2 linked regions of the Styela clava genome follow. The protein of the gene in region 1 purifies or fractionates together with the protein of each later gene. This does not show direct contact. Links are inferred from orthologs where the notes say so. Each region holds a gene or a part of one and is shown in the gene's direction. Other genes may lie near its edges.

What was found.
Region 2: the proteins of nephrocystin-1-like (region 1) and nephrocystin-4-like purify together in Homo sapiens (co-immunoprecipitation; 6 studies listed by BioGRID and IntAct, with this or other methods). This does not show direct contact. The link is inferred for Styela clava from reciprocal best matches to the Homo sapiens genes NPHP1 and NPHP4.

The regions. Positions count from the first base shown.
Region 1 is NC_135251.1:26,438,946-26,456,230, forward strand, and holds the start of nephrocystin-1-like, read left to right. Parts: upstream 1-8,255; 5' UTR 8,256-9,299; coding exon 9,300-9,365; intron 9,366-9,617; coding exon 9,618-9,761; intron 9,762-9,875; coding exon 9,876-9,944; intron 9,945-10,109; coding exon 10,110-10,171; intron 10,172-10,433; coding exon 10,434-10,529; intron 10,530-11,193; coding exon 11,194-11,340; intron 11,341-12,863; coding exon 12,864-12,988; intron 12,989-14,875; coding exon 14,876-14,927; intron 14,928-15,007; coding exon 15,008-15,050; intron 15,051-16,811; coding exon 16,812-16,997; intron 16,998-17,285. Other genes in the region: uncharacterized protein LOC120336336, read right to left, coding at 1,815-2,260, 2,943-3,027. UniProt on the Homo sapiens protein: Together with BCAR1 it may play a role in the control of epithelial cell polarity. Involved in the organization of apical junctions in kidney cells together with NPHP4 and RPGRIP1L/NPHP8. Does not seem to be strictly required for ciliogenesis.
Region 2 is NC_135256.1:22,125,611-22,141,858, reverse strand, and holds the start of nephrocystin-4-like, read left to right. Parts: upstream 1-9,816; 5' UTR 9,817-9,844; coding exon 9,845-10,183; intron 10,184-10,989; coding exon 10,990-11,139; intron 11,140-11,682; coding exon 11,683-11,885; intron 11,886-12,310; coding exon 12,311-12,369; intron 12,370-12,668; coding exon 12,669-12,830; intron 12,831-13,606; coding exon 13,607-13,803; intron 13,804-14,129; coding exon 14,130-14,260; intron 14,261-15,093; coding exon 15,094-15,227; intron 15,228-15,601; coding exon 15,602-15,711; intron 15,712-16,195; coding exon 16,196-16,248. Other genes in the region: DNA repair protein XRCC2-like, read right to left, coding at 1-706. UniProt on the Homo sapiens protein: Involved in the organization of apical junctions; the function is proposed to implicate a NPHP1-4-8 module. Does not seem to be strictly required for ciliogenesis. Required for building functional cilia.

The DNA.
Region 1 (17,285 bases):
CTTGGCGCCGTGTAATTACACTTTTCGCTTTTTCGTCTCCGACTCATCACAAATACGCTCCATCAAATCTCGCAAGATTTAGAAACCTAAAAATTGACACGCGCTCTTTTTCTGTTGTGCATGCCTTTCCTGATTAATATAACCACACACGTTCTGCATACTTCTTTGTTTGAACCAAAAAAACAGTCAAGAACAGTATAATATTCCAGTAAGATATGAAGTAATATAAGAAACACTGTCACAATATCTTGATAACAAATACACATCACTAAGTAATCGAGCAATCAAACTGTTGACCGCATTTTCAACCAGTTACTTATGCATTATGCAAAAAATATTCTCATCACTGGCTTTAATTAAAACGAAGCAGAGAAATCGGCTGCACGCCGCTGCAGAGTTACGTGTTGCAGAAACTTCTTTGAGACCTCGTTTGCAATCCTATATTGGAAACGAAACAGCAGCGAAATTCTCACTAGAGTTAATTGTGTTTATACATGATTTGGCATGTACATGTTTTTTTTATGTGAGATGCTTTATGTGTGCCTTTCTTCGGCATATTGGGTGCCCAGCACTGCATTTCATTGCGCAAATATATGGTCTTATTTTACGTTTCGCCCATTTCAATTTTTGGCCGGCACATTATTTGATAGTTTTTCATCGTGTGAAATGTTTCTAAGTGTGCCTTTGTTGCCTAGAAGCATATTGAGTGCCCGACATTGCATTAGATTACGCAAATATGTGTTATCCTTTTCTGTTCCTGTCATTTCAATTTTTGCCGGTTCGCGAGTACGTTTAATTAAATTTTATCGGTCCGCCAGGGTAGAAAGGTTGGGAACCACTGCTCTAAAAGACTAAAAAGGTGAGAAGCATCCAGCAACCTACAAGTTCAAACTTTGTGCCTACGGTCTAAAAGCACTTTACTCACGTTACTAGACTTATGCGTGGACATCAGAATACCTGAAATATGCTCTTGGTCGTTTGAATCTTGATGATATATAAATATTTATCAGATAAGTTTAAATTTGGATTTGCATATATTTTGTGAACAAAGTAACCTACTTACTTAGCTAGCATCGATGATATTTGGTATTATATGTCTTGCAGCGTTGTGTCGCTGATATAAGAATAAAAATTCGGACCTCCTGAAGTATGCGCACCAAGATGACGCACAACCTGAACTCTGATTGTGTACAGGTTGGGGTTCAGGTTATTCGACATCTTGGTGCGCATACTTCAGGAGCACCAAAAATTCTCATATAGCGTAAAATAGCACAACCTTCTAAAACCTCGCCTATTGAATTCAGTATTGTACCATTAAAGTTAAAAAACAACATTTTAAATTTTTATTAAAAAACACTAGAATGAAGAAATTTTAACAAATTATTTAATAAAAAATACGGGAAGAATATATGGTCACAAATTAAAATTGACCTTGTTAATACTGTACACAATTGTCATAGTCTTTTCTAAAATTTTGTTTGTATATGGTTGGTACAGATTTATTCACCTATACCAGTGGTTCTCAACCTTTTTTCTTTCGTTGTCCACTTTCGTTGCATGAAAATTCTGTGGCCCACTAACTTTCTCATGCAAGGGAAAAACTACAAGAAAACAAGACTATTTTTTGCCAAAATAAATACTTTCACTTTAATGATTATAATGAAAAATAGCAGCATCATTCATTGCTACTACAATAAAAAATTGACTATAATGACACAAAAGAAACTAAACTTTCCAATAAAAATAGTAATTTTTGATAGGCTTGTGGTCAGAAGGTCGAGGCTGAATGCCGATTATGCTCGGATGATATTTGTTTAAGGCAAAGCTTGAAAAGTTGATTTCATCTTTTTCTTACAGTAGCATATTACACCAATAACCACCAAAATCGCAACGGCAATTAGAATAAGTAAAATTATTCCTATACACAGAGGTGAAGGTGGAATGCAAAATCCTAACGTTTTGGATTTATTATGATTTGTAGTTGAATGAGATTTTGTTGAGACGCTGATAAATGTTGTATTTCCGGGTGTGGTGTTGACTTTTGTCATAGCAAACGATTTCTCTCCAGAACTTGTCATTGATATCATTCGTGGTGTGGTTGTTTTCGAAGGTGGCAACCCGTCTCCAAATGAGCGGGGTTTTGGTTTTCTTCTGTAAACGCATTCCAACTTCCTCAAAGGATTTTTCCAAACGAAGTTTTTTCTACATTTACACACATCATTGATGCAACTGGACAATGGTGGACATTCGCTGCAACTACCTACAAAAATAATACAGTGAAATGTTATTCCCTTACTATTTAGTTCTAGTCGAAATTCGGAGCGCCAAGTCATCATTGGTGAAAAATCTCTTCAGATCAAGTAAAGTTTCGAACGCAATTAAATGCTTCTCACATGTCATGAATGTCAACGAATATATGTATAGCCTTGTTCAACATGAAATGGTTTCAGTTTCATCAAAAGTAACAATGGCTAAATCAAAATGGCGCACAACTAATAATAAAAAATAAAGTAATTTAGTTCGAATGTTAATTGATACCACCATAAACAACGAGTCATATTGGAAGTCAGTTCAATAGCCGACTACCAATTTTCAGGGATATGCTATAAATAATCAAACTGCACTGTAAATTGAACGATATTGAGCATTGAAATGCAGTAAATTACATTTGTTTTTTTCTTTTTTTTCTTTAAACAAAAATATTAGCTGTTTCCAAGATATATGACTTTTATTATCTATCAAAATAGCAAAGTATCTTATGAATGAGTGCGCCTGAACTTTGAGAAAGATTTTTTAAAAAATTATTTAGCGTGAGAAATATCAAACGTGCAAAATCATTAACTATCGTATTTGACTTACTAATATATATGCTCATATTTAATCTATTCAAATATCACTATTTATCGTTTGAAAGTTAACAAAAAAGCAACATATAAGCCTACCTTGGACAGTGCTAAACGGCAGACCAAATGCATAAACCAAAAATATCATGGTTAATTTTCTTCTTTGGTTCATCATGACACACATTAAATCTTCTTTTCAGGTATAGCGAACGTTCTTGGTTTAATATTGACTGATTGTCCGCCTTTCCATTGTTTACTTTTATATGCTATCCGCAACTTATTCTTGCAGCATTGCAATTACCCAAATAGGTCGACGATGAGCAATAAATCATAAGAAACTTAGCTTCACGATCTTCGTCATTCGAGAGGTCCTTAAAAGGATATGAGTAAATACACCTTGCTATTGTCATACGAAGAAAAAAATGAGTCAAGCAATGATGGAATTTTGCAAGTGAGTAGCCTACCAATACAGTGAACGACTAAAAGGGGAAAAAACACCTGATGTTTTCCTATCGTATGGCAAAGAGTTAGATTAGAATTTCTGGTAGAGTACTTGGTTTAGAAGAAATTCCTAATCACCAAAATGGTATTTCCACTCATCATTATCGTTCTCTGTACTCCGGAAAATGTGTCACTCGGTCTATAATAATGGGGGATTCCGCCTATATACTAGGAGAAAAACAAAATGGTATTACTGTCGTTCAAACCAAGAATGTTTCATCTTAAAGTTTTCTGACCATTGCGTCTCTGTTGAACTGGAAAGCAACCATCGATACCCACAGGTCATAGCAGCGACCTACAGGCTACTTTGTTTTTATGAGACTAAAAGATCTGAAATTTATTATAGATAACGTCTTATTACTTTAAACGATTTATGTGTAATAATGCCAATTTGAGGTAATAAAGTAAGGTTAGAAACAACGACTGTCAGGAAAATGTTATTTAATTTATACATTGGACACGAAATTCACTTATGGATTGTCTCGCTATTATGTTGTTCTTGATCTTGTTGGTATTTTTCTTCTTGTTGTTATGAAAAAAATCGCTTTTCTTATTCATTAATAGATCAATTGCTTTAAAATATGTAGTGGTTAAAGATTGTATATTTCGCTAGAACGGTATTACTTTTATTTATTTCTAAATTTTTTATGAATCCTAGGAGATCCGAAATTTCGCTATATTTTCATTTTTCGCCAAGCGAATAAATACTACGACAGAATTCGCCCAAAATCAATAGGCTTATGGTACGAGATATGATGAATACAGACAAATATCAACATACTTACCGATTAAAATCGATAAGTAACAAGCTACAACACGGCTCAATAGTATGGTGAACTGCGACCAATGACAAGCGCCATCCCAACAAGAGTTGATAAGCAGATAAAAATACCTAAATATATGGTGAACCGAGTCCTCTCGTTCAGTTGTCAGTCGAATGTTGTGTAACTGTTGAACATTTGACATTTGACACTTCAGATACATCATGTACCAATATTTCATCTCATTAGATCAGCGTTTCCTAACCTTTTTTGGTCGCAGACTATTTTCTCATCCGCGAAAACCTTTGCGGACTCAAGGTGCGTTTATTGCAACCATACTCTGTGTGAAGAAGCAATAAAGCCAAACACAACAGAAATTCAATGAATTTCAAAATCGGAAATTCGCCGCAATTACGCGTTTGTTAAAAAACTTTTTTGTGTATAATGGACTTTTCTGTCACACAATATTCAATCCACGACAACGACGAGAATTGTCTTTTATATTTTAATTTAATTGTGTTCATGGTAACTCGCGATTGCGTGACTTGCGTCGACTTACGACAAGATGTAAGCATCATCTCTTTGAAATTCCGCGGTCGTCTTCGAACATAATAATGAGAGAATATATTGCCCGATTAAATTCGGCTTTGATACATATTTTTATCGATCTTGCGAATTTGGTATCGCCGTTAGAAAAAATCCTACAATCTGCTATAAATTTTCAGAATGTACAACCTAATTTAGTATTTATAAAAAATATATTTAAAGTATATATATTAGTAAATCAAAAATACATATTCATCGCCTTAAAATTCTCGCGAAAAACTTCTGAAGGAATCGTCGCGTATACGTCATTCGTAGGGCTGGGCATTTCAAATCGAATAGTAAATTATTCGAATCGGTTCAGGGAAAAATTTCGAATCGCCGCCATCTTGTTTTTTTTTATCTTTTCGCGGATGGTCGAGGTAAATTCCTCAATTTTTTTTATTGAAGCCATATTTTTTCAACGCAATTCTGACATATGACTATTTTCTGTAGTGAGCTATGTGTCTGGAGGATCTAATACAATAAGAAAGTCGAATACAATTTTATATCTCCCAAGTATTCGAGATTCGATTCGAAAAAAATATTTGATTCGATTCTGAAATCATCAGGTATTCGAAAATGCCCAGCCCTAGTCACTCGTTAAAAGAGCCGACTTTTCAATGATTTTTTCTGTTGCATAACATATTCAATCCATATGTGTGATCCTTTTAATCTGTGGTTGTGTTGACTAAATAAGAGCAATACTACTCAGAAAATACCATGACGATCCGTGGACACCAAAATGCGTGGTAAAGTGCCCGATTAATTTTTTGATTAAATTTTGCGATTTGCAATGTCTAAAAAAGCGTTAATAATCGGTCGCGGACCACTTTTCAATTTAGAAAATTTGCGTTGCCACCATTTACACCTACCAGAAAAAAAACAAATTATTCCTCGTTGTTCGAACTCGTGAGAAACACTCATTACGTATTTATCGAAGCGTTTACAGACTCTTGTTTTCGTCGAAGATCCGCAAGAGAGTTGTGAAATCCAATCTTTTGATAAAGCGACTCGCAAGTGACCTGTCGCGTCACGTGTTACCAAATTCTCGTATAGTAAATTGCTATTCTAATAGTTGAATATGCGATTATATGCCCAGCCCTACTCAATAACCGGTAATTATTGACTTGATTAATGTTATTTGAATAAACTGGCTTCTCATGTTTTATGTAATTCTAACGTAAATCGTAACTTGGCTGATAGTTAATTAGGTTTCGCAAAAACTTTTGCGGCCTGCATTGAATTTCTGGCTCGTTGTGGACTCATTCAAACGCTCTGCGGACTCATTTGAGACCGCGGACTCGGGTTGGGAAACACTGCATTATATACATGGACTTCGTCGATCAGGAAATGTAATGAACTCGGCGGTATGGCGCATCGTGCTAACTAAGCGATATAGGAATACGCTCACCACCGTACTTCTGCGGGGTTTCGCCGGTTCGAATCTCATGCCGGGTTAAGTATGTGCGAGAGGATTGCTGGACTCCTCGCCGCCGTAGGATGGTTCACGTAACCGCTGGCCGGTTACGGCTTCCTCCATAATCAAGTTTGTGCATCTAAAAACAAATTTAAAAATACCTGGGTAACTGAACATTTCTATTTGTTTGGTTTGCATAGTCAGCTACCTGATTTGAATGGTTCTATTACATTTGAACTCACGTACATTTGAACGAACCCACGTCAATCGCACCTGCATACTTTTGCACCTATGGAGATTTTTTTTACGGATATTTGAACCCATACTAACCCTAACCCATGGATTTTAGCACCTTCATATAGATTGAACCCGCGGATATACGGGTGCAAATGTATGGATTCGTATGTACGTGGGTTCAAATGTACGGTCCCGATTACCGATTTGAATAGTAAGCGGAGGGAAGATAAATTTATTTTATAAATTTTATTAGATAACGTCCAGTACAATCACAAGACTTGCTTTTAATGAGAACCTTGTTCCTGCTTTTCCTTGCTCAACTCTGTAATATCGGAACTATATTTGAACTCTTTCATTTGAACACATGCTTCCGAACACATCTTCCGTAAGTCGGTTGCGATGGGGACTATGAATAAACTTCGCTTCAAGTTCAAATCTTTCATTGATTTCATAAAAATAAAATCCAAGGCAAGCATATCAATTGATATTACAAATGTATAACATATTCACGTAACATAATTTCACTAATTTAACTATGGCATAATATTCAACTTTTCATTATGTAATACTAAGTTGCCCCGGTTAATTGCATACCTTTTCAGGCTTTCTCTTAAACTTCGGATAAAGTTAACAAAAATGCCAAGTATTGGAAGCATACGTGTGTGTGCGCCCCAATTCACTTGGCGTGCCATGGAAAATTTGCAAGGGGTTGCCGATCCCTGCCCTACGTGGACTGATTAACAGACGAGGGGCCGTGGTTCGCCATAAGATAAAACCGTCTTTTTATCGATTGTTTCATAGTAGGACCTTTCTCCGAGCATCGACTTTCTTGTTCACTTTGTGACATTGGCCAATCAGCAAGGTGCAAAAAGTGACGTAACAATGCTCCCTTTTCGCACCCGCTCAGACACTTTTCTCACTCAGACAGATTCTCAGGCGTGGTCGTAAACATTACCTCGTTTTCGCGTTTTTGAACTCTATTCGTTACTTTTCAATTGTGTTTCGGAAATTTGAATATATATCAGATAACTCAATGATCACCCTGTCTTCCTAGGAGTTTTAATTTGATCGCAGTAATAAAAATTTAGTGTAGAAATAGCTCTGATGGACTAGGCTGAAATTCTTTACCGGTAGTTTTAAAAAACAGATTGTTGTATGCGATGAATCGTAATAATGATTTGAAACATATGCCCCATTTTACAGACGCCAACTCAAAAAACCACTCTTAAAATAAGCTTCAAATTTTTGACATGGTTAAGTATAGGAAGAAATTTTCTGGGGGTCAAAGGTCGGGGAAAGGTCCATACCACTGAACTGGACAAGTTTGAAATCGCTGTAACAACTACAGTCAACTACAGTATACGAGACGTTATGGGGTGTGAGGAGTCATACATGATAAAATATGAATAAATAAGTTATCTTTATTTATTACAGTTGTAAACTTTATTTTAATATGATCTATTATTAAAATTATTCTTGATTTCAACATTTTCCAATTTTGAAAGCATGGAGATTCATATCGTTTTGAATTCAAAGTGAAAAAAATAAATAATGATTTTGTCTCTCTCCACACCAAGGCTATATGGCATTTGTTTTTACTGCAATTTTCATCATTTGTTTTGGCATTGTCTACGTTCGGATGTTTGTGTGCGCACTTGCTCTCATTTTCTCAAATTTTATCCAGTATTATGACTAAAATTGAATCTTGGGAAGAATTTTCAAAAGCTGCTGAAAGACTTTATCAGAGCGATCCTTATAATGTAAGATACAATATTAAATATAGACATTGTGATGGTAAATTGGTGTTGACGGTCACTGATGATCAGGTCAGATTGCAGTATGAAACAGAACATTCACAAGATGTAAAGAGAATTGAAAAACTAACGGCAAGTCTTTTGCGGATGATGGTTCATTAAAGAAAATTACAAACAAACATTCAACGACATGTTACAGTGTTATCCATTCCTGCATTTGACTTATTGCAGTACTGCTGTACTGACATGACACACAAGCACACAGACTTGTGATTACTGGATTATAAGAGTAAAATTATAGACAATTATATCATAAATTTGTACATATTGCTGCATTGACACACATTCAATTTGTTTTTAATATAAGTTAGATATTCATCATTCTGTTATTGTCCTACTTTGGTATCACTCAGTACTGGGATCAGAAGCTGTTATTAGAGCCATAGGCAGATGTCTGGCTGTGCAATGACTGAATAATCTGGTGTTAAGGGTTTTATTTTGTATTGATCAAGAAATCAAAATAATATTATCGGTTAATAATTTGATGCTAATATCTTCCGTTTTGTTTGCATTATCACCGATGCGCTGAGTTATTGGGTAAAATCAACATTAAATTAATCAATAAACTATATCTGTATATATGCTGATAATGTTGTAATAGAATACCGTACCGAGTTTAAAAACAATTAAAAATTCAATTTTCATTTCGTAATGATTGTATTCTTTTCCTTTCAATAGCCTACAGTTAATCCATTACTGAAATGCACTGTTTACTTGTATAAAATTATGTTATATTACTCAAACTATAAATTTTATATATCAATATATGTTGAAAAAAAATGTTAAAATTAAAACTAAATAATATAAATTTCTTGCATTCTTCATTTCAAGTTCGTAAGTCTGTAAGTTGCCATGCTTTTGATGATCTGTGGCGAGAAAAGGTTTAACAACTTCATTATATTAGTAATTTATACAGTTGTACATGCATCACAACCAATGAAATGGCATTTTGTTATTGACACATTGTTCGGTTTATAGCCAGCTGCTTGATAAGGATGCTTTTAGTTTGGACAAGCTTGATCAATGCTATTATTGTTCTACTGGTCTTCTTGGTGTAACAATTTTGTTTCTCGATTTTATTACTGTATTATGACATTTGTGCATACACTGTTTGCAGAGGTCATTTAGGTTTTGATTCAAAATGTCTTTAAAGGCGAAAGGTCCACTGCATCAGTTACAAATTGAGGTGGATCAATTGAAAAAAGAGGTAAATTCACAATTGTTCTAGTTGTTTTATTAATGCTAAGCTTTTTGTTACCGTTTCAACATTGGCAAATTATATAGAATTAGTCTAACCTTCTTATGCCTGCATGCAATTTAAAAAAATTCATACTCTGGAATATTTTTTATTGTGTTCAAAATCATCAACATTTATATATTGACTTATATGATAAATATTTTGAACTTTAAGCTGGCCAAGTAGAATTCATGTTTGATTGGAATATTTTTTTCATTGCAGATTGATGCTGCCGAGAAAAGCATTAGAGAATATATCAAAGATGCATCGAGCAATGTGGAATCATTGAATAAAGATTATAAATCATGCATTGATATGAAAATGAGATCTTCTGCCTTATTATTGAGAGCCCATGATTTGAAAAAGGTAGCATACTTGTAACATAAGTAACAAAAGCAGGACTCGTGAATTGCATAATATCGAAAATATATGTTTAAATCCAGTTTTAGTACAAAAAAGTTTTCTATTTCTCATTTACAGCTCGATGAAAAAGTTCAAAATTTTGATGTAAAGAAGAATGAAGAGATAAAAAGGATACAACAATTACAGGTTTGTCTGAGCAAGAACCCAATAATAATCCATTCATATTTAGAATTGTGATATTATTTTCTGGCAAGGCCTTTAGAAAACTATTAGTTTCATTAAATATTACTGTTAGATTTTCAGGATTGTTAATTGGAACTGATTGACTAAATTTATTTCTTTTTTTTTCAGGCTCGATTGAATACATTGATGGACGAAGTTGAATCATCTTCTAGTGAAGTTGAACATTTAAGGTTTGTCTGTCTTTGGCACATGAGAAGCTAAGTGCTTGTGTAACCCTGTACTAGACCTGGGGTATTTGCCTCCCAAAATTTTATTGCGCTACGTAGGAATTTTGTATTGTCTGATTCTAATGTTCCCTTGCTTTCCAAGCCCAATGTTCAATTAATTTATATCAGCAAGGAAACATGAAAAATATGACACAAAAATTTTACTCTTGCGAGCAATGCATTGAGGGGTTCGAATCTATGAATAATAAACGCATTTGAATCCTAGGTCTCTCCGCCACAGCCAAGAACAACCAATCGCTCAATCTTCTCACCCTCAGAATCGAGTCACTCATGATGAGGAAGAAGTTGAAGATGGAGATGAGTAAGTGTTTTCATTTTTATTCTTTCATTAACATAATTTGTGTATAAATAGTAGTTTAATTATCTGGTCTGCTAGAATACAATGCTGAAAATGTGATTCCCACACTCTAATTTTTCCTTCAACTTCAACAAATATTTGAATCTATTTTTTTTTTAAATGTTTCAAGTCCAATTTTAACAATTCAGAAAAAAGTTAATTGTGTATGTTGCATAATTGCATAAGATGTTCGGTTTCATGGCAGCACCGTAAAAATGTTAATTGTTGGAAAATTTCCAATTTACTCTCTATTTGTCGCATTTTTATCCTAAACTAAGTTGAAAATTGAAATTCGAAGATTGCTATCCTCCATGCAAAAATGTAAGAACGAGCCCTATTTCATCTTGATATTTCATAAACTGTGGAATATTTAGGAATTTTATCAATTGTCACAGTATACTACTCACACAGGATCCTGACAAGACATGCAGGGTTCAAAATAAACTGGCAGTTATGGTAACCCAGTTACTGTATGTGCCATTACAGATTTCCCAGGAGTAGGAATATCCAGCCTGGCCGCCTACCGGCTTGCAGTAAGGGCACTCAGATTTGCTTTGATTATTTTGAATAAATTAAAAGTTGCTTTGTTTTTAATAACGATTTCTTTCATTTCTTGTTCCTGCTATAGAACGGAGGAAGAAGATGATGAGGAAGAAGAATATGAAGATGATGAAAATGGAGATGAACTATATGAAGTTCTTAATAATTTTAAAGGAGAACAAGAAGGCGATCTAACTATAGAAGAAGGGGATGTTGTATCACTTGTGTATAGGCAGTAAGTAAAACATAAGTAAAATAACAATAGGATCGCTAGAGATCTGGGATGTAAGAAAAAATGGTAATTATTATAGTTCGTTCTCACTCAGTCCGATATACCCAAAATATAAACAAAACAGGTATCTAAACAATAATAATTATTTAAATAGGTAGAAATGTGATGAACAAAATATATCCATGCCAGTTTGACCCGTGTCTAATCATACTTTGCACCAGAAAGGATTTGCTACAGCAGTTCTTTATCCCTAAAAACTAAATTAGTAGGCTACGTCTACACTTATCAAATCTATCAGATCCTAAGTAATTTTACTAGTCAACTGCCAAACTCTCATTTACTACTCTATTTTGATTCCAAGTTGAACGAATTGATCTTTGCTGGTAGGTTATTGTTTTATCATTGTGGCAATTATTTTGCGGTTATTAGCCCATGAATGTGCGTAGCAATCAGTGATGATCTAATATCATTTCTATCCAGGGTCGAATGTACTGGTATTCGAATAATCAATTTATTTTGGATATCTCCACTAAAGATTTTGGCTAAATTTGATTTTGCTTCAGATTGACAAAATTATCAAATTTTCAGTCGAAGTTTTCCATTCAAAGTAATGTAATATATGGGCCATTCCAAGCCAAAGTTGAATTCCATCAATTTTTTTAAAAGTGTAGTGAAAGTAATTTTTTTTAATTTTTGATATCAAAAGACATTGGAATTTTATTGGACTGCATTCATTTCATCGAACAATTTAAAATTTCACCCAGGTTTTTGATGGTTTATAAAACATGGCCTGAAATGTAGAAATTTTGGTATAATTGACATATTTTGTGATGATTTCTGTGCAGGTACAGTTATTTCATTTGGAATTGACGCACTGGATTTAAGTTAATAAAGTTTAAATGTTTGCAGTGCTGTAGAAAATTTCTTCACCCATTTAAGATTTATTACCAGAATTTAAGAGATGATAGAGGCCGCTATTCCGAAGTGGAAAAATGTCCTGTAGTTTCACATACAATATGCTCATTATTGGCATGGATTTATAGTGTTACATTAAGTAACTTGAGCAACACATAGAGGGGTAGTTCAGCTACTGCACCAGAAAATATTATGGGCTTCTACTGTACCATCGCATAAATTTACACAACACAACACAACATACTATACTGTTAGTGCATGGTGGATTTGCCGTCCTGTAGTGTCACGCTATATTTTACTATATTTTTTTTATCTACTAAGCAAGTCTTGGTTGTAACTTTTGTGCAATTTTTTACATATTCAATAAAGCAACTGATTGGACAATGAAACAAAACATGTGGCTGAAAATGTGAAAATATATTGCAACCAAAAACATGCAAAATTTCTGGAATTGTCCTGTAGTGTCACTTGGAATAGCCCATATGATTTATTTGTGTGTTCGATCAATTCAACCCCGTGCCAAACAGGGTTATAAAAAGAAATTGTAATAGCTTATTTCAAATTATGGGCGCCCACTTGTGCCCATAATACAAGTCTCGTTCTTTTCTCAGGGATGATGGATGGTGGAAAGTGAAAGATGAAGATGGTAATGTTGGGATGGTTCCATCAAATTTTCTCCAAGAATATGAAGATGATGATGATGAAGAAGAAGAGAGCCAGCTTCAGGAGGATACAGGTTAGATATTGTTATTCAGGGATGGCCATTTCCGAATACTGAACTATTCCGAATACATTCTAAAATAATGTTTTCGAATCTGGAATTCCGAATACATTCTAAAATCGAAAATAACATATTTTTGTTTTAGTTTATAAAACCAAGTAAAATAGGAAATAAGCTTCAATAGAAATATCAGGGTAAAGCCACAAACCAACAGTATATGTATACAAAGTAATTGATAGTTTGTGGTTATTATGTTTAGCATATTGTTAAGTCTGAAATTAGCAATAAGTTAGAGGATAGATAACCACCACTGCCAGGTGTGCAGCCAGGATTTTCAAAATCAGAAATTCCCATTGCCGTCTGTAACATCCACCGGGATTCCGTGCTCGTTAAAAGAACCGTCTTTTCAGCGTATAATGATCATCCCGTCACGTATATTATTCAATCCATGATAAATACGAGATTCTAAAATAGCTTTATATATTAATTTAATGTGTCCAACGTAACTTGCGGTTGCTTCTAATAATATAACAACGCATATATATTTTTCTGTTGTGCAAAGTGATTAATTCGTGCCGATACGGGCATATTTCAAATGTCTTGCCTTATTAATTTAGTTGTTTCAATTTAACCTGCGGTTGCGTCGACAAAATAAAATCCTCACCACTCTAATATGCCATAGCAATCCGCGGACATAAAAATAAAAATGTGTGGTGAACTGCCCGATTATAAATCTGCCGTAAAATCTCAGAGTAAAATTTATTCCAGCACAATAAAAATTGATTGAATATACTTTAGATTAATTATATTATATATATTCTCACAACCCGGTAAAAGTTGCGTTTCAGACCTTGTATGATGTTAACACAAAAATTTTCGACGGCAATTTAATTAAGGTAATGGATTAGTGACTCAATTAGTGATGATATGTTTCTAAACGCGGACCAAACATAATGTGGGAATTTTGCGGTTTTCACTGCCTAGAAAAGCGTTTTTTAAACTGTCGCGAGCTTCAATAAAACATATTTTGTTTACAGTTTTATTTTCAGTATTTTAAATTGCCCGTTTTCAATCAAAAAATTTGTGTTTTCTTTAAAAACTCGCCGCCAATGTACGTATTCTCCGTATTCACAATACTGTGCGAGTACAAAAATAAAATCATTGTCATCGTTATCGTGGAACAACTTTGTGGAAAATTTGCGTTTTAGAGAAAATAACACAAACGTAAAGGCGTTTACGGCCTAAATAACACGTCCGCTGATAAAGCAATCGCGCGCAAGTTCCTATCGAGAATGTTTTCACTCAACGGAAATGTCTTGAAAGCGGCGTCGAAAATGTGTGACGTCACACAAATATCCGATATTCTTATGAACGCTAATTCCGATATTCGAATAACGAGATATTCGAATACATTCCAATTGGCCATCCCTGGTTATAATGCATTGTCTTTTAATAATAAAAAAAATGAGGGAAGTTTGACTCATTGTGCCTTATAAATACACTTGCGATCGCATCCTTAATTACCCTGCACTGGTTCATAGATTTGAATTGTGTGGAGGATAATTATGTGCAAGAAGATTGCTGGTGAATTACTGCCTCCACCATCAAGTCCACGCATCTGAAACAAATAAGTGGCATACTTTTTCCATACCCGACATGGTCTGGTAGCTGGATGGGAGGTTTGTTGTATGGTTGAGCCGCCTTATCAGCTCCCCTCTCCCCCAGGATAATTATGAAAATCCTATCCTATTCTAATAATTTAGCAATCCTGGGATGCACGTTTGAATTTTGATTTCAGCATCAGCGGCTAGTTATGAGCTCGATAAAAAGCGAAATACTGTTGTCATTCTATAACGGAGTGATTTTACTTTTGCCTATTCTAAATGAACTTTACGTTTTCAGGAGAAGCAACCGCTTCACAACCGCCAACTGAAGGTGAATCTCCAACAAGAAGGTAATTAGCACCATAAGTACATCTGCGAAACATTACAAATGATTTCTAATTAGCGACTTTCAATTTGTTCTTCGTTTCAGTGGGAAAGCATTGTGGAAAGGCATAAAAGATGCAGTTAATGAGGTAAATATCTATTATCACTCATATTTATTCAATATATATATATATGACATTAACTTTTGCATGTTTTATTACATTACCTAATCTTTTCGTGTTGTACCTTCTGATTTAGTAGCTGCTTCGTCTATCTAGCTCTTAATCATCAAAAATGCTGAATAGCTGATTTCAGTAAAAATTGCTCGATTGAAAAGTGTTGTAATTTGTAGGCTATGTGTTCCTAATACCTGTTTGAAGTCTGATGATTTCCATATTTTTTGATTAAAACTAGATTGAAGTTTTCCTTTTATTTTGAAATGATCAGGCTAGCTGCCTCGTCTAATGAGACATGGATTAGAATTACTTGAAATTTAAAGTACTGTACTAAGAAATACTAAGATGCATTCACTAATTTTATGCACTAAATATGATAATTATTTTATAGAGTAATTTACTCATGTTTCATGATTTCTCTTTGAAATCTGTTTATATTTAATTGGTTATGAAGTAAAATAGATATTTAAATGGGATGTGTCGTTTCAGATAATGGATAAATCTGTCAACAGATAATAATATTATGATAGAGGGTGAAGATAATTCTCAAATACTGGTACTTAAATTATAATCTTCCATGTAATATATTATAATTAAATCTTGAATTACAAGTTTGGGAATATGTACGGTTAATTGGTTATCTGGAATTTCAACATCAAATCTATTTCAACTTGCATTTGCTATTCTATCTTGTTTGATAAATCACGTGTTTTATAACAAAATGGTGAATGTCAAATTCGGAAAAATTACAAATAAATGCTTTTTAAACTGGTTTTCAAACTAAAGTTTGAAAAGATATTCATCAAAGTACTTCAATAAAAAATTAGAGGAGATTAAAGATGAAAAAAAAGTTTTCTTCAATTTCCTAAAACTTTATTTTTCCAAGTTTCATTCTTTGGGTCAAAACCCTTTGATATCATCAAAGTTCCTACAAATTGCTATTCTGATTGTTTTTGAGAATCCATGTGCCATTCTTCAATAAGTTTTTAATAATTAATCAGTATTTTTTTATTGGATTTAAATCTGTGCTTTCTTCTTAATTTCATCTATGTTGCTCATCATAATTCATAATTCCTGGTAAGTAAATCACTCGTTTAAATAAAGAGCAATGCACTTTTTAAAACACTTTTTAATAAGAGTTGAGATCATGACGTTTTGCACTGCACATATGAGTTATTGATGAATATGTGTAGAATATTTTGTATCTATATCTTTGATTTTTTTTTGCATGTTATCCGTTTCAATTATTTGTCACTGCTGTGTAAATTTCACCTTCATTACATTGAATAATGTTTTGGACTTTGGAAAATACAACGTTTGTATTGTTAATTTGTGTATGATTACAGAGAGTGAAAGTAATTTTATTAAAACGAAATTCTAAATCAGGAGCTAATGATATGCTATGATAAGGTCAAATTTAGTAATGCGGGCTGACTTTGTTTAACCGGAGATGAAAAAATTTTAATATTATTTAACCAATTATAGTAAGATATTTTAAATAAAGTTTAAAAAAAAAATGAATTTTGTATAAAGAACCGGTACTGCAGGCCAAATAAAAACTCTAGGCCCATTTCAAAAATCCTCCGGCTCAGATTAAGAAACACCAATCTAAAGATTGCCGGCACTTATTTTGTTTTAAGAATTTTTACTTTGATTTAAATGTTCTGTAAAATGAAAGATATTTGAAAAATGGAGATAAGCATTAAGTAATATTACTTCTGTATATTTTTGCAGCCTGCTAAAACGGATGTTACTGATGTCTTGGCTGCGTTGGGAGCGATTCCTGCTGGATTTCGTCCTTCTACTTTGGGGAGATTTGTATCCCAAGATGAATATACATTAAAGAACGCTGTGCTTCCATCCTTCACTGAATCCAACACTGGTCTTCAAGATCTGCATTGGGATCCTGCATTAAATCAAGTATGCATTGAATCAAATTGTGAACTTTGTGTATTATGGTATGAATTTATGATTTGCTACTTGAAAATAACTGTGAGGAAGAAGGATGTGCAATAATGGGTACTCCTGTAGTATGGGAAACGAGATGGTGGACACCGGAACATAGTATGTGTACTAGGTTAGAGTTAGGCCCTAATTTCAGGGGAGTCACTTGGCTAGTCCTCGAACTCGTAATAGAACTAACCCTAACATGGTACACATACTACGTTCTGGTGTTCGCCATCTTGGTTCGCATACCACAGAAGCAAT
Region 2 (16,248 bases), on another chromosome or scaffold:
AATCATCAATCTTACTGATGGTTGATGATTTTTTGAATTTTAAAATAAAACGATATGTTACAAAATTCTCCCAAAAATCACCATATAATTTTAGGTTTCTCAGGTCAAATTCCTGGTCAGCATTTTCTGCAGTGATTGGTGGAAACATTTCAAGAGTACGAACCAAAATAGAAAGGTTATATTTTTTATGAAATAAGTCTAAAGCTTTCACCAGTTTTCTATAATTTTGCTCTTTCAAATATTGAGAAAAACCTCCAGCACATTGCTCGTTCCAATGAAATGTAGACAGTCCATCAAGAATTAACAATTTCACAGGTATTTTGCTGTTTGCAATCAAAGGTTCAATTGAATAGAGTGTGATTATCAATTGTTCAACAGAATCACATCTTACAATATAAAACTTTCTTATCCATTCTTTTAGCTTAGATTCATCAGCATTTGTACGCTCTTCCATCATTGAAATCAAAGATAATAAATCAAAATGTTGATTCAAGTCAAAATATATCACACCATAATTGCATCCACCGTGTTCTTCTGGCATAACACAGGTTACTAATGCATTGATCAAAAATATGTTTCCAGGCTCAGTTTCATTGTCGATGATTTCAATGACACTCTCGTCATGAACCTTGCTGGGTTTGACAAGTTTTCTCAAGATTGAGTTGGCCGAGAACACACTTCCAGATGATGCGTGGTGGCTGAACATGATTTACTATTTAACAGATATTATCACAAATTTGCTACTGCTTCATTGTCATTCCCTACAGCACAGCTGTTAGAAGCTAACACTGATTTACTGACAAATACTTCTGTATATTTTTGAACTGTGAAGAAAACCACCAAAGGGTAAAATATGGTTCTAGTTAGGCTTACTGTACGTCCTGGTTTAGCCAGGACAGTCCCGGTTATATCATATTTTTCCGCCGTCTCGGCGATAGACTCTAATGCCCCGGTTTTCAGTATGGCAGTCATAAATAATTTTTCTATTTGATATTATTACAAAATATTTTTTTAACAGATGCAGCTGATTTACGTCTCACTTCACTAGTTCAGATAGGGAGTAAAATTGTTATGTCATAATTATGATATGAAGTATGAACCATGCCTTAATTTAATACCCTACCATGCTGTCGTTGAATCATCGAAATGCCGAAACAAAGTACAAGTTTTATAAGGAGCTGAACAATTTCCAATATTTGAACAAAGTGCAGGCCAATACAGCAATAGAGGATATTTTGACAGGATTAACAGCTCATTTTGATACCCTTAATAATCTATCAGGTCTGGTATAGTTTAGTACCACATCCACTTCTAGTTGGCCTGGCTCAACAATTTTTGCATATGTCAATCCTAACCCCCACCTGACTACGTCACCGAAAAATTACGTCATTCTGACGTCACAGTGGCGTAATAAGGCCCACCGAAGTATGCGGATGGTCGTCCAAAACACGCAGACGATAACCCGAAATCGAGCAAGCTATTTCTCTCGTTTTCTAGTCGCAACGATCACAATAGGAGAGAGATCGCCGGCTTTAGCAAGTTCTTATCGGCGGCGCAGATGCCATTTCGGGCGATCGTAATTATACTTTGGCAACCCCTATGGTGACGTCGTAATGACGTAATTTTTGGATGGAATAGTCAGGTGAGGGTTAGGAATAACATATGCAAAAATCGTTATGGTACGCCCACTGGAAGTACTTGTGGTACTAAACTATACTAGACCCAATCTATCCACAATGGTATTGGAAACGTTTAAACTATTACTAAGCCTCTGGAATCGAACCGAGGTTGGCTTGTCCAATCCGCGTCGTCCCTTTTTTTTTGCTTCAGAAATATGGTTAGCCTAGTTATAGTCATAGAAACGTAGAAAGTACACAACTGCCAGACCATCAGCAACATGGACAGTGAAAATTGAAGGCAACATCAATAGTTGCTCTTGAATCCTATCCTTAGGTCAGTTGGTTCCTTACCGTACCCTTATCGTCACATAGTATACACGATCACATACATGATCTACAGGAGCGGTGACTCCTCTACGGCCCATGGGCCGGGGCCACGGCCCGTCTAATCGGGCCACATGGGCCGTGGCCCATAGCTTGATGGGCCGTGGCCCCATCAGGAAAAATTCAATTATTTTGACAAAATTTTCAAATTTTACCAAATTGTCAATATTCGAACCAAAAAAATATATACTCCTGTAGTATGTGTGCCAGGTTAGGGTTAGGACAAAAAAAATTCAGATTTTTTACATTATAGTTCTATTATGATTTCGGGGACTGTCTGTGTTAGCCAAGGGAATAGTTTCTTTACACAACTAGATGGGCCGAAGCCCAATTCGATGGGCCGTGGCCCCGGCCCATGGGCCGCAGAGGAGTCACCACTCCCACTCTACATGATCAGATGACATCCCGGTATCAGTGTTTAAAAAAACAGTGCAGCAACAACAAGTACCGTTACCGTACCCGTACCTGTATGGTATTTGAATCTGAATATGACGGATAAAGCACAGCAACAATTATGGCTTATTTATTCGGAAGCGGCATAGCATACGGTATTCGAATACCGAACACTTGTTGTTGCGTGCTGTTTTTTCATATTTTTGAACACTGATACACACGTTTTGTTCTCCAATGAACACCAGCCCTCGACACACCCACACGGAGAGAGAGTGGTGTTTATAGCGATTTGTCAATCAGAAAAGTAGGTGACTATACCTAAATGTTTTCACTTGTGAACAGAATTTTTCACCAGGATAGGATAGGATTTACATATTTATCCCGGGAGAGAGGAAATCCGATAAGACGGCTTAATCATATGACAAACCACGGTCTCTCGTCCGGTTACCAGTCCAGAGTCCAGGTATGGGGTTAGTTAGCAAGGTATTTGTTTTCGGAAGCATGGATTTGGTGGTAGAGGAAGCCGTAACCGACCAGCGGTTACGTAAACCATCCTACGCCATACGGCGGCGAGGAGTCAAGCAATCCTCACGCACATGACCATCCCCGCATGGGATTCGACGAAGGGTAATCAGGGATGCGGTGGCGAGCGTATTCCTAACGCTTAGCACAATGCGCCACATCGCCGAACCGTATTCATTCAGTCAGTAGTTTATATTTCACCGAAATGAAAGTGCACTCACACTGGACATAAACTTAAAAAAAGTTGAAAATGACATTTCATGGTGAAAGGTGACGCGAAAATCCAAAGTCGGTTATCGAGCAGCGACACCTGTAATCCACCGACACCTGTATTCAGTAATCAGTATTAAAGGTATATTCACAAATCAATGTACATGCGATCTTTTTTCAACAAAAATATAATTTTTGGCCCATTCGTCCAAAAGAGGGCGGAAAGGATTATGGCGGAAACTGGAAAATCGCCATATGATTTAGCCGTCCTATTGGCTTTTCTCTCCCCCGGGGTGATTATGTAAATCCTATCTTATCTTATATACCAGTGGTTCTCGAACTTTTTGAAAAAATGTGCATAACGGCCCACTTTCAATTTTTCTGATGACTAGCGGTTCACTAAAGAAACTAAAGCAAATAGCAACTTGGTATATGTGCGCGGTAAAAATGTGCATAACGGCCCCCTTTCAATTTTTCTGATGACTAGCGGTTCACGAAAAAAACTAAAGCAAATAGCAACGCGATATATCAATAAAACAGTTCAATGAGATGGGTGTCCCTGCTTGGCTCCCACTAGTTCTTTTACCTTGGCCTTGGTTTCTGTTTCGGGCAATGCAACCTTTATATTGTGTCTCACGTTCATTATGTTCCTACATTTTGTTTTAATAGCGTGTAATGTAGAGAAAGCTGCCTCACATCCGTAAGTTGTTGCAAATGGAATGAGCATCTTTTGTGCCATCTTAGCGACATCGGGATAGAACGGTGCCACTATGGTTTTTCTTCTTCTCCAGACCTTATCACAGCAAAACTAAATTTGACATCTTAATTGTTATATCTAAATTTACCTTTTGTGACGGGGGAGGCATTTTTTAAATTACCCCGAGAAAATTTACAATTAGAAGCACACGCCTTCATAAACAATACGCTCTGATTCACTGACGTTGCCACGTTTATTACGTAATAATGTGTTCGGTAGACGGTGTCGTGCTTTGGAGAAACACAAATTTTACTTTAAATCAATCAAAATTGTCCTGCGGTCCCCCTGAAATCGCTTTGCCGACCCTAAGCGTCCGCGGACCCCAGTTTGAGAACCAATGCTATATACGATTCACAATGAAATGGTCATTATTATTGCAACAGCTTAAGCGTTTCAAAAGTATAACAGCCTGGAAGTTCCTATACATTCGACTATGTTTTGTTTGCTTATTTCTGGCCCAAACCTTGTTTTAACTAGGTTTGTGTTTTTTGTAATTTATTTTTCTGTTTGTGCAGGTGGGCGGGCACATGATATTTCCCATGTTTTAAACTTGTTGAGAAGTATTGCTTGCCCTGCAGAATTCTCCATTTTAACTTTCTGTATATTATTGAGTATTCGAGTCTGTGAACGTCTTCCAGTCGGGTGAAGTATTTTTTTAAATTGAGGAGTCTAGGATTCTTCTCACAAATAGGCATAAATACCTAAGCGTTGGATAACATTAGTTATCATTATTTTTCAATTGAAGGCGCTTGAATATCCACAGTTCAAAACAAAATGGAATTTTTAAGTTTTTTTTCATTTATTTTTTGTTAGTAAAAACATGTCAACATTTTAATTTGAATCAACAAATTCTTATATTATGAGGGTCAAAGTTCGACAAAATACATTGCCATTCATGCGTACATTACAGTTACGACAATCAAAACAAAAACAAACAAAATGATGAAAAAACTCTGTAATGTAGGCTATGCTTGTAGCCTATAGCCTATGATGAATAACTAAATCTCATCGACGACAAAGTTTGGGAATATCCAGAAATCTGAATTCAGAACGAAGTCTTTGTAAGTTTTTACGCAAATCCTCTCAAGGCACAGACGGAGCGCTGTTTAAAGGTAACTTATCCTGCTTTTCTTATTTTGATTTTCACTATTCATATGTTGGGGGGAATGGGATTAAATTAAATTAAAGGTAACTTCTCCTGCTTTCCTTATTTTGATTTTCACTATTCATATGTATTGGGGGGAATGGGATTAAATTAAAGGTAACTTCTCCTGCTTTCTTTATTTTGATTTTTACTATTCATATTATGTAGACTATTGGGGGGAATGGGATTAAATTAAAAAACGATAAACAAAAACATGGAAACTAAAAACTATCTATTTATAATAAAATGATTTGATACTAAAATATTAATACGAAAATTCCGTTTGGCATTGGAATTTATTTGGCACAAAAACAAAAAATATCCTGCTTTCCGATATAAGATTGAACGCGATATGGTGGCGTTGGTTTCCATGACGTAATTTTTGGATAACATAGTCAGTTGGGGGGTACAATAACAAATTTGTGATGTAGAGAGAATAAACACCAACGTAAAGGCGTTTACCGTCTAGATACCGACGAAAACAGTCGCTAATTTTAGCAAAGTGCATAATTATACCATTGGCTGGGTGTAGGTGCCTGACTACTGGACTACGGTATGGAATACCGGTATTGATTATTTCAATTACAGTGATACCTCCGCATTTGAACGACTCTTTATTCAAAAACTTGTAGTTGACCAAATGATTTCAAATACAGAAATAGCGATGCTCAAATACATAGACACGAAGGCCAAAACGAATTAGTGTGGGTATGCAATCTATCACGGTATAGTCTACTGGTATACTGCCAATACCTGAATACAGCAATCCTCACAACTACCGCGAAAGCGGAACCGTCACAAGTCTGCAAGTTGCGCAATTTTTAATGACGTCAACGCACACAGAAAACGAATCTTATAGAGCTACAGAAATTTCTGAATTTGCTCAAACGTACTGTAACTGGGGCCTGGTATAGTTTGGTACCACATGCACTTCCGGTGGGTGAAGCATAACGAATTTTGTATATGTTATACCTAACCCCCACCTGACTATGTAATTCAAAAATTATGTCACTACGAGTCTACGATGTCACAATCACGCCATATAGAGCTTGCCAAGTATAGCTACTATCGGACGAAATGGCATCTGCGCCGACCATAAATGTTTCATATTTTTATCTTAATTATGTTCCGTAATCTGTATTACTGTATTATGTACACATTCAAATAATTATCGTTGTTTAGGTACACATTTTGTTAATGCTTTTGGTATTTTGTAATGCGTGAGAGCGAATTATTATAATTACCATTGTTTCCTATGGCAAAAAAGTTACTCAGTACTTGAACAAATCAGTAGTCGTACACCAATCCTGAACGAATTATGCTTCCGTGGTATCACTGTATATGTCTTCTCTATAAGTTGCTAATTAAACATCGTTAAATCGTTTCCTTTGTTTTTTAAAGTGATATTTGTCAGAAGATGGTTAAGAAAGTTATGCCATCATGGCATTCTGTGATGAAAGAATTTAATGATGTTGAACCACATAATGATAGAACAGCTGTGACACCTTCTACGGGTTATCAAGTAAAGATTCAATCGATAACTGGATATCGATCATTGGTGAGCTCATTTCGTGATTATACAGCAGAGCATAGTTTCTCTGTTTTTTCTTGTAATCTTTTCTTTTATCTTGTAATCTTTCATATCTCATATCTTTCTACGTTTAATGTTGTTAATAATCCGTTTGAACCAGAGTTGTGCAACCTTTATTATTGGAGGGCTAGATAGAAATAACTGGGTGAAACCATGGGCTGCACCTGTATTTAACATAGGCTATCTAGTAGTTGCAAGCACAAAAATTTGGTTATTGATCATGTCACATGCGTTGTTTGCATAAGCAAGCTGTTAAGGCATTGTAAAGTCATAGATAAAAAATTCGACTTGGGTATAGGCTAGGGATTGGAATCACTCGCGCGTACCAAATTAAATTTAAACGTTGTTAGGTGGCTCGTACATATTCAAAATTGGCACTTCTCCGCGGGCCACACAATTTTTCCCTCGAAGACCGCATTTGCACACAGGTTGCACACCCCTGTGCTAAACTAAACTTGGTTCATATACTCTTCACTTATTTTGAATCATCATTGCTCATTAATCCATATTTTGCTTTCATCAATATATGTAATACAAGGATGTCTAAATCTAATCAAATACTAAATTATAAACAAGAATAAGGAAGCAATCACATTTTACCTTTCATATATTTCAAGTACAAAACCCATTGAATTTAAATCGACTTCTTTGTTATTAAATTTGACCCAATTTAGAATATTTAAAAATATTATTCTAGATTCAGATTCAGATAGATTTGTAAATTATTTGGTTTTGGCCAGTGGTATTTAAATCATGGTTACCAGGTTATATATATATATATTAATTCTTCAAATTGGGTTGGCTACCAATCACTTTAATTCATTTACGGTAGTATAAGACTTTCTTCTAGTCTAAAATTACCAATCACAATATTCAAAATTTATTTTATATTCCATACCCATCAAACTTCATGTTCAATCTGTAGCAATTTTTTTCAAATATCCACCACTCTTATTCATTCATGCCAAAGTAATATACCGGTAAATTTGATATTGTAGGTGATTTCACAATGTAATGCATAGGATCATTAATAAAGCAATGTAATCCTTTTCATAAGCACATTGTTGAATGTTGGTATTTAATCCTAGATTAATCAACTGATGCTATGTCACTGGAAGGGAGTTAGTGTGGTCAATATTTTGGTACAGAGCACAGGAGTGAACATGTGTTTGCCTTACTTTAATTTCAAAAATTGGTTTCCTTAAACCAGTTAGGATTTGAGGTGTTTGGGTTGTCGAAGGATTTGATTACTATATAAACAATATTACAAGTTTTTATGACGAACAAAATTAGATTTTGTAATGAGAAAGCAACAGAAAATGCAATAATCTTTTAGCTGGATATGAAGGTTCCAAGATTTTAGGCATGATTAGCAATGGCTCACCGAAATAGTGGATTTTCAGTTTTAAAGTCTTTTTCTATATTCATATTCAATGCTAAATATTGAGGTATATTTAGGATGTGTTTACTAATGTTCTGTTTCTAAGGAACTTGTCAATTTGAGATTTATTTTATCTATGCTGGAAAATTTGTTAGTGAAGAATAAAATAAAATAGGCTATTGAAATTGGACAATGATGAAGATGTTTTTTTCCAATTTTTTTGCAATGTAAATATTTGAAAAACTAAATTTTGAAGTTATTGTTGATTATTATTGGAGTTATTCTCAATTAAATATTGAGAAAATCTGTGGAAAATTTTTTTCATTAAATTTTGAGTAGGCTATTATACTTCCATATTTACTTTGACAAGTTTGTAGTCACGCCCTTGGATGAGAAATATTGATATATCACGTACCGACGTACGTACTAGTATTATATCTCTGACATAAAACACAGGATATCAAAGCTATTAAATACCAAGCATTATCATTAGTTTTATAGGTTTAGTAGGTTACATATTAACTTGCCACTATTTAAATTAAATGAATTAAATCTTATAAATGGATATCTGGACATTCAAGATTTCTGAAATTTTAAAATGCTGTGTGAGATTGCTAGCAAGTTAAAGCCAATCTGGATAAATTTGTCTTAATATGAATTTTATTTTATTGCACTTTGCAAAAAAAAAACTAATAATGTGACATCAGAGTTCCATGGTCTTTTATATTTTTGGATCATAACTTTGTTATCTTTAATTAGTATTTAAATTCTTAAATACTCTTAGATCAATATCTAGGTTTGAGGTCAGTAACGCCTTTTTAGGTAATTAATAAATCAAATATACCAGGTTCCAAAAATGGTTTACTTAACCGCGTTATCGGGCTATCAATGTCTTGAACAACCACTTAGCAAATACACTTCTGATGTATTTATAGTGTGGGTTTGTTGTAGTCCAGAACAATGGTTCGAATTCAACAAAGATCGGTTTATAATGGCATTTCTCAAACATGGTAGATGGATACACCACGCTATCATATATGCTTCATCCTTGCCCCATGCTTGCTTCATGATAGACTTTGATAAGCTAAATTTTCGGTACAAATACTACAAAACAAATGGACTTCAAATTTATTATCAAAAAGTGAAATGGACTATTATTACCTATTAAGACCAAAGATCTCAAGTTTTTATTTGAGAAGGAGGCGAGCTGTTAAAATTTTATGGTCATTTTATGATAGCGATATATTTATTAAGGACACCAGGCAACGGTTTTGATTTCGCTTGTTTTTGCATCTAAAGTACACTTGTGGAAAATGTTGTTACGTTTAACCATGCTTGAGATTTAGTGAAGCATAAAATATAGCCTGCTAACCACAGAGTTATTGGTACTGTATTGTTTGTTATCTGCTAGTTTTTAGGTTAAAGTGGTTATTGTGAATGTACCCCTGAAATTTTGACTACAAACGGAACAAGAATAATTGATATGATCAGGCGTGTGACTATAGTTTATTAAGATTGAATATAGTTTTCCGACTTCCCGGAGTTTAGGCAGCGAAGAGACAATCCATATAACATGTAGCCTATATGAGACTTTAATAGTGAAGCTGTTGAAAGTTATTCAGATAGTCGGAAATTAAAACAGTTGAGTGCTCTTATCACAGATTTATCTTGTCATAGGGTAGTGTGTATGGAATATATTATTATTATAATGTTCAACTTTAAAAACTTTGCTCAATTTATATTTCAATGAGATAGGTTGTGGAATACTAATAAATAGATTGAATAATTAATTACGGTATTCAAATGTGAATATATTCCGATAATCATAATTTTTGGATACATTATGGAACCAGATTCTTCCAAAAAAACTGGTAAAACTGATCTTCGTCGGAGAACAGTATCATTTAGACTTCCTTCACAAGATGTATTTGAATCTTATGCAATTTCTCAGCAATTTTACACAATGGATGGTACAGCTCATAAACTGCTAAAGAAAAATTATGAAACTGATATTAAACATTTCTCAAATTTTCGAACTATTGTACGTTCCCCATATAAAAAACGACAATTAACTACGGGTGGATTTTGGAATTTGAAAATACAAGAATCGCATGAAAAACGAAAAAATGTTGGCTTCGGAATTAATTTGTATATTTTAACAAAATTTATAAATGACAAAGAGGTAAATTAATTACTAGATAAGAAATGTGTTCTTGTAATGAAACTTATTCATTTTTATTTTTTTATCATTCCAAGATATAATAATATATATAATATAATATACCGGTATATTAAAATATATGAATTAGGTTGCATGACATTATTTTATTTCTTGAAAATTTGTAATATTATAGACTTGTAGTACATTGTAAGAAGCTAACTTTTGTTTTGGAAATGTCTGTAATGTAGCAGCAGTCATATGGACGGTAATGGACCAGTCCTGCAATGGCGAGGAATGCAGCAATTTTATTTCACAGAATTTTCACCTGCAGGCTTTGTACTAGTGAACCTACGTAGGGTTGTGACTAATGAGTGATGAGACAAAAATGTTATTGGTCTATTTACATTTTACAACTATTGTATTATTGTATTTGAATAAGTTGTTTGTAGTTCATGATGATGCTGTAAAAGCAATATCTTTTCATAGAGTAGCATTCGTGATTATCCATGATGCCCAGAATATCGGGATTTGGTTAATTATTTTGCAATGATACATATGCATGAGCATGACCAAGGTTGATGCCAAATCCAACTGCATCCTTTGACGACAGCGAGTCCAGCAATCCACTGGCACATGGCTACATTCCTGGTAGCGTTCGAACCTACGTAGGCACATAGCGTAGGTTGACGTCGAGCCGAGTATATAAAGGCTATACTCGGTTATTGCTTCAACACACTGGTTTCTCTAATTTTTCGTGGCGAGAGACGACCATTCCACCTGTTTTTGGATTGCGTTCAGCAGATCGTAGAAGTACTTTCTTATTTCAGAATGCACCTGAAGTTTACAGCTCGCAATATGAAATCCGGCTCAGTTTGTATGATGTGGTATATCAACAATTTCTTGGAGAAACTTGGAAAAGTAAAACTATTTCTCCAACAGACGAAGCAATTCAACGTTCAGAATTAAATATAAACAAGGTCTGTTTTTATATTTTTATTTGATGACACACAAACACTTTTGGAAACATTATTTCCATATAATTCATTACTTAAGAATGAGTTTGTATAACAGGACATTTGTCAGAAATATGTGAACTTTTGTCTTTGCTTATCAATATTTGAGTTCTGTATATTTGAAATAAAACATTTGTGTGACACTAATCGCTTCTAATCATTGGGAAAAAAATATATGATTTTATATAAAAATACTGGTACATTAACTGGTAGAACTAGATCATGCAATAGACTGACTGAACCAGTTCATAGCCAAGATTTAAAATAAATGTAGTGAAATTATTTATCCATTTCTAAATTTGGAAATTGTAAGTAATATAGAATTTGCAATAGACGAGTGATGTTATGAAGTAAATCTATCTGAAAAAATTAAAAATTGAATGTTCACCCAAACCGATACTCAAGTAATCAAAACTTATTTCATAATGGTGATCAGGCCTCTGATATTGGTTATTGATATTATTGGTTTATCCGAATTTGATAGCTTAAATTTATAATTTTCTTCAGGTTGTATATTTTCACTCACCGGTCACTGATCCAAATGTAATATTAGTTGTTGAAGTTGTTGTGCATAGAGGTCCGAAGAATCCTTTACCTGGAGATGAATCTGTTACAACAAAACGAACATTGGGATGGGGAATCTTACGACCTTTTAAACCTGAACTTCAATTGAAGGACATCGCTGATCAGATGGCACCTACAGTTAGAAAGTATGATGAAATTGTTCTGAGGGTACATACATGACATGGGCGAACTACGGCTCGCTGGCCAAATCCGGCCCAGGGGTAACTTAATCTGGACCGCCTGATAAGGGGCAAAAATTTTGGCTCTTGGTCCAAAACCTTGCTCACCACTGGTTTATACTGTTCTTACCATTTAACAGATATAGCTATTAAATAGTATAAATACCATTTTTTTTTAAACATGGCAATTTAATGAAAGCGGAAGAGCCAACCAATATTATGATTTCAAGTGGTGATTATCTTGAAAATGGTCTTGTTTGATAGGACTGATGGGAATTCCTGTTGTACGAATGACAGACTTTGGAAGTATGATGTTAATAAACTGTTTACCTGATCTGTTAAACACCTATTCGGGAATGAGTTTTTATTATTAAACAAAATCTTATTTTTAGAATGGATGTCTATCAAGGAACGCCGAGGGCATTACTGTTTATGGGTGATCACATTGAAAGTATGTTTTTTAATTTTATTTTTCTCTGGTTCTACATAATTGTTATTAATTATCTGGTTTTAGAACCAAAGTTATTTTTTGCTTTTGACTGCAATAAATTGATTCCAAGATGACCTAAATATGAAATAATTTCATTTTTTTATAAAACAGACAAAAAACTATAAAAACTTTCTATATTTCCTACATCTAACAATTTTGAATTATGTCTGAATTTAGAGACTCTGTGTTCTTTTATTATCGATTATAAAACAATTCTAATCAATCATGCCTTATCGATAAAATTGTTACTTTCATTTTAGCAAACGAACATATCCAACTGATTACAGGATGTCAACTATCATACACTATACAAAAACATAAAAATCTTCAATCAGTGATGCATTTAATGCCTGATAATGTTTTGTTTTCATCGTATAAATGTCTTCCTGGAATGGCAGAAGCTTTTTCCAAATCTGGCACAGGTACATTCACAAAATGTTTTGTTCAAAGCAATCTCATGATTACCACTTTTAGATGCTTTTAGTCATCAGGGATAGTAGTTGAAGCATCATAGCTAACTATGTCGTCATCATGGGTTTGAGCGTCATGCCCATCACCTCACTCAGGTTGTATTGAATTGATTAGAATAGGTTTTACATATTTATTTCGGGGGAAGAGGAAAGCCGATAAAATAGCTTAATCATATGACGAACGTTGGGTATGGGATTAGTTAGGAAGTTTATTTTCAGATGCAGGGACTTGATGATGGAGAAAGCTGTAATGTAACCACCCTACAATAGTGATGAGCCCAGAAATCCATAATTAGGCAATACAGTGGTTTCTTGTATGAAGACCTTTTTGAGTAAAGTGATGAAAGCATTGTATTAATAAAGGTTCAGTAGAACAGCTTTTCTAGAAGAGTTTTGATGTTTATTTGCTGAAGATTCGGATACCAAAGCTAATCCACTTTTCCACTGCGCGTGTGGAATGAAAAAATATGGGATTCATAATAATACAAAATGTTTAAAATGGAACCATAGGGCATGAACCAAAACAAATAAATTTTGATAATTTTTACATATAGGCCTATTAGTTTGGGAAGCTAGGCAGCTTATGATAAAACATCAACTTTGCCCAGCTAACATATCAGTGATCATATTGCTACAATTTTGCTTTCTCATTAGAAAAATTTCTCTGTTTCGCAAAATCTTGAGTTTTTAAATTTGTTAAAAATTTATTTCTTTCCAATTTACTTTAGCACCAGATCATTATCTGAAACCAAAATGTCTTCCTCATCAAACATGCTATCTTGACACACTTGCATTAAATTTTGGATCAATGTCCGTTGATAAGTTCGAATCACAACTTTGTTCGAGAATAAATCAAGATCGTTTGAAAAAGGACAAAGCTGAAGATGATGGAAAAACTGTCACAATCACTGAAAGGAGATTAATGGTAAATTCGTAAATTGTATCCTATACTTTAATCACAGTTTAAGCAGGTGTATATTCATAACAAGTTAATTATATCGGCATCTTGAATATATGCACCGGTATCGGTTTCAGCCCCATTGTGGGCGCTTCTTTCTTCTGGCTTGCATATATCCTTCCACTTCTTTTAATTTCGGCCCCTGGTCAATCAACTTTGGGAACCACTGCTCTATCACCACTTGCATTATGGAATTCCAATTTTATGAAGATGTTTCTGTTCAAAAAAATATACAATTCCCAAGATTGCTTAGACATATAAGTTTCAAATATCGTTCTATTTTTTTTTTTCAGGTTGGTGTACATAATGGATACTGTTATATTCAAAAACCTCAATTTGCTCAACTAGAACCTGAAGCAATTATGGGTGCAAGGTTGGGAAGTTTTGGACGAGGAAAACGAAAAGATACCAGCAATGTCGCCAGGTGAGTATTCGAAAAAAGGTTTATAGTAAGTATATAGTCAAGGAGGAAAGGTTCGATCAGGCCCTTAATAATTTGACAAATTAAAACATTGGTTATATGTTATCACGTTGGCGGGTGTGATGATCCGGCGGTTAGTCAAAAATTAGGGTTAAATTAGGGCTTAACTGTGTTGGCATTGCAGGTTACACATCTCAGGTTCAAATCCCTTCCCCCCCACCTTACCCAGGCTGCAATGAATTGGGTATGCTGTGCTGAACTGGAAAGAGTCCAGTCCTTCCAGTTAAAAAGTAGCTTCTTACATATGATTAGATGGCTGTGCAGTGGCTGCTTGTTTGGGGCCGTATTTGGAGCGAATCACATCGATTTGGAGCGAACCACATATTTTATGTTATAATAAGTTATATCTTCACTTGTATAAAACCTCAAAAATACGTAAGGCAATTCTTGTTTTTTAAATTACTTGTGTCTACAGCACTGTCAAAATTAGCAAACGCTTTGATAAATAATTATTTTATGTTTGGAGATTACAATTTGAAAACATCGTTAAATGAAATGAAGGGCATTAGTGTCAAGTTGGTTGAAATCAGAAACTTATAAAATGTGTAAATAACCTGTATAGTTCAACTATTTTAGTCCTTGTAAGAGGAAATTTACTGACCTGGACTTTGATTCTAGGTAATAAAGGAGTGTCGTGTGACTAGACTTGTTGTGAAATTGATATTTCAATAGTTGACTGATCTGGAATATTGTATTGGCCAATATACAGACTTTTATACTAGCTGAATTAGGACATGCCTTGACAGCCTGAATCATTCTAATAATATTTCTTTCAGCACTGAATCAACATGTCTAGTACTTCGAAGTCGAGTACAATTAGATGAGATGGTAGTGGATCCTGGACTTGCGGTAGTTATGCAAATTGAATATTTATTCGCTCTTCCTTATACTTCACAAGCTGTTGTTAAAGGTAATTTTATAACAAAAATATGTTGTAATAAGATAAGATTAATTCGATAACTTGACTATGCTGTTAGAGTTGATCCTCAAGTCTTGGCTTCAATTCGACTGCCAACAAATTTGATGTAATTTGATTTGAGAGAATTTAATTTGAGTTATATGGATTAAACATTATATTGCAACGCAATGTTTCAATTGTCAGAGAATTGGACCTAACTATGCAAGAATCACGGGTTAAAAATTTAAAATTCTCAAGTTTTTTTTTTAAAGTTAATACTGAACTAGGAGGAAACAATTTTCTTGTTGGTGGTTGTTGTATACATCCTTGTTCAAAGTGAAGTGTGAAATCGGCTCAGAAGTGAAACTTTTATTTCTTTACTATAGGATCAGCAGGATCGATACGTTCTCAGCCTCTTTCAATGTCAGTCAGATGGACAGCTTGGTGCCCATTCGCCCAACAGTCTACAGATAATTTTATAACATTGACATTACAGGTGAACATTTTATTTCTCACTTTTGAAATTTAATATTTCAACCAAATACCTACTTTGGCTCAAGCTATTAAGCTTGGATTTCTTATTATTTTTTGATGTAGTATGCAACATCCGATACCTATACCTTTGAAGCACTCTTCGCACAAACTGCAAAATTCAATGCAATGAATGGTTTATTTGCTATTGACAGTTGACACTAACCCATATTCTTGATTGATATCTTTAATCAGAGGTAATATAGGTTGTCCATAAAGTCTTAAAATTTTTTGGCAATTGCAAAGGGAGTTTATCGATACCATTCATCGTTGGCACTTTTGTATTGAAGAAGTAAAAATACTTAAAAAAAATTACTGATTAAAAAACAACAAACCCGGTTAAGATATGTTAAGAACTAACTTCATAACAAAATTGAAATTGTGAAGGGACTTCATGGACACCCTGTTTACTCGTATTAATTGCGGCATTTTTTATTTATTTCTTCTAGGGAGGAATGGAAAAGAATCCGGACAATGTTTTGTTTTATACAAGTAATATTTT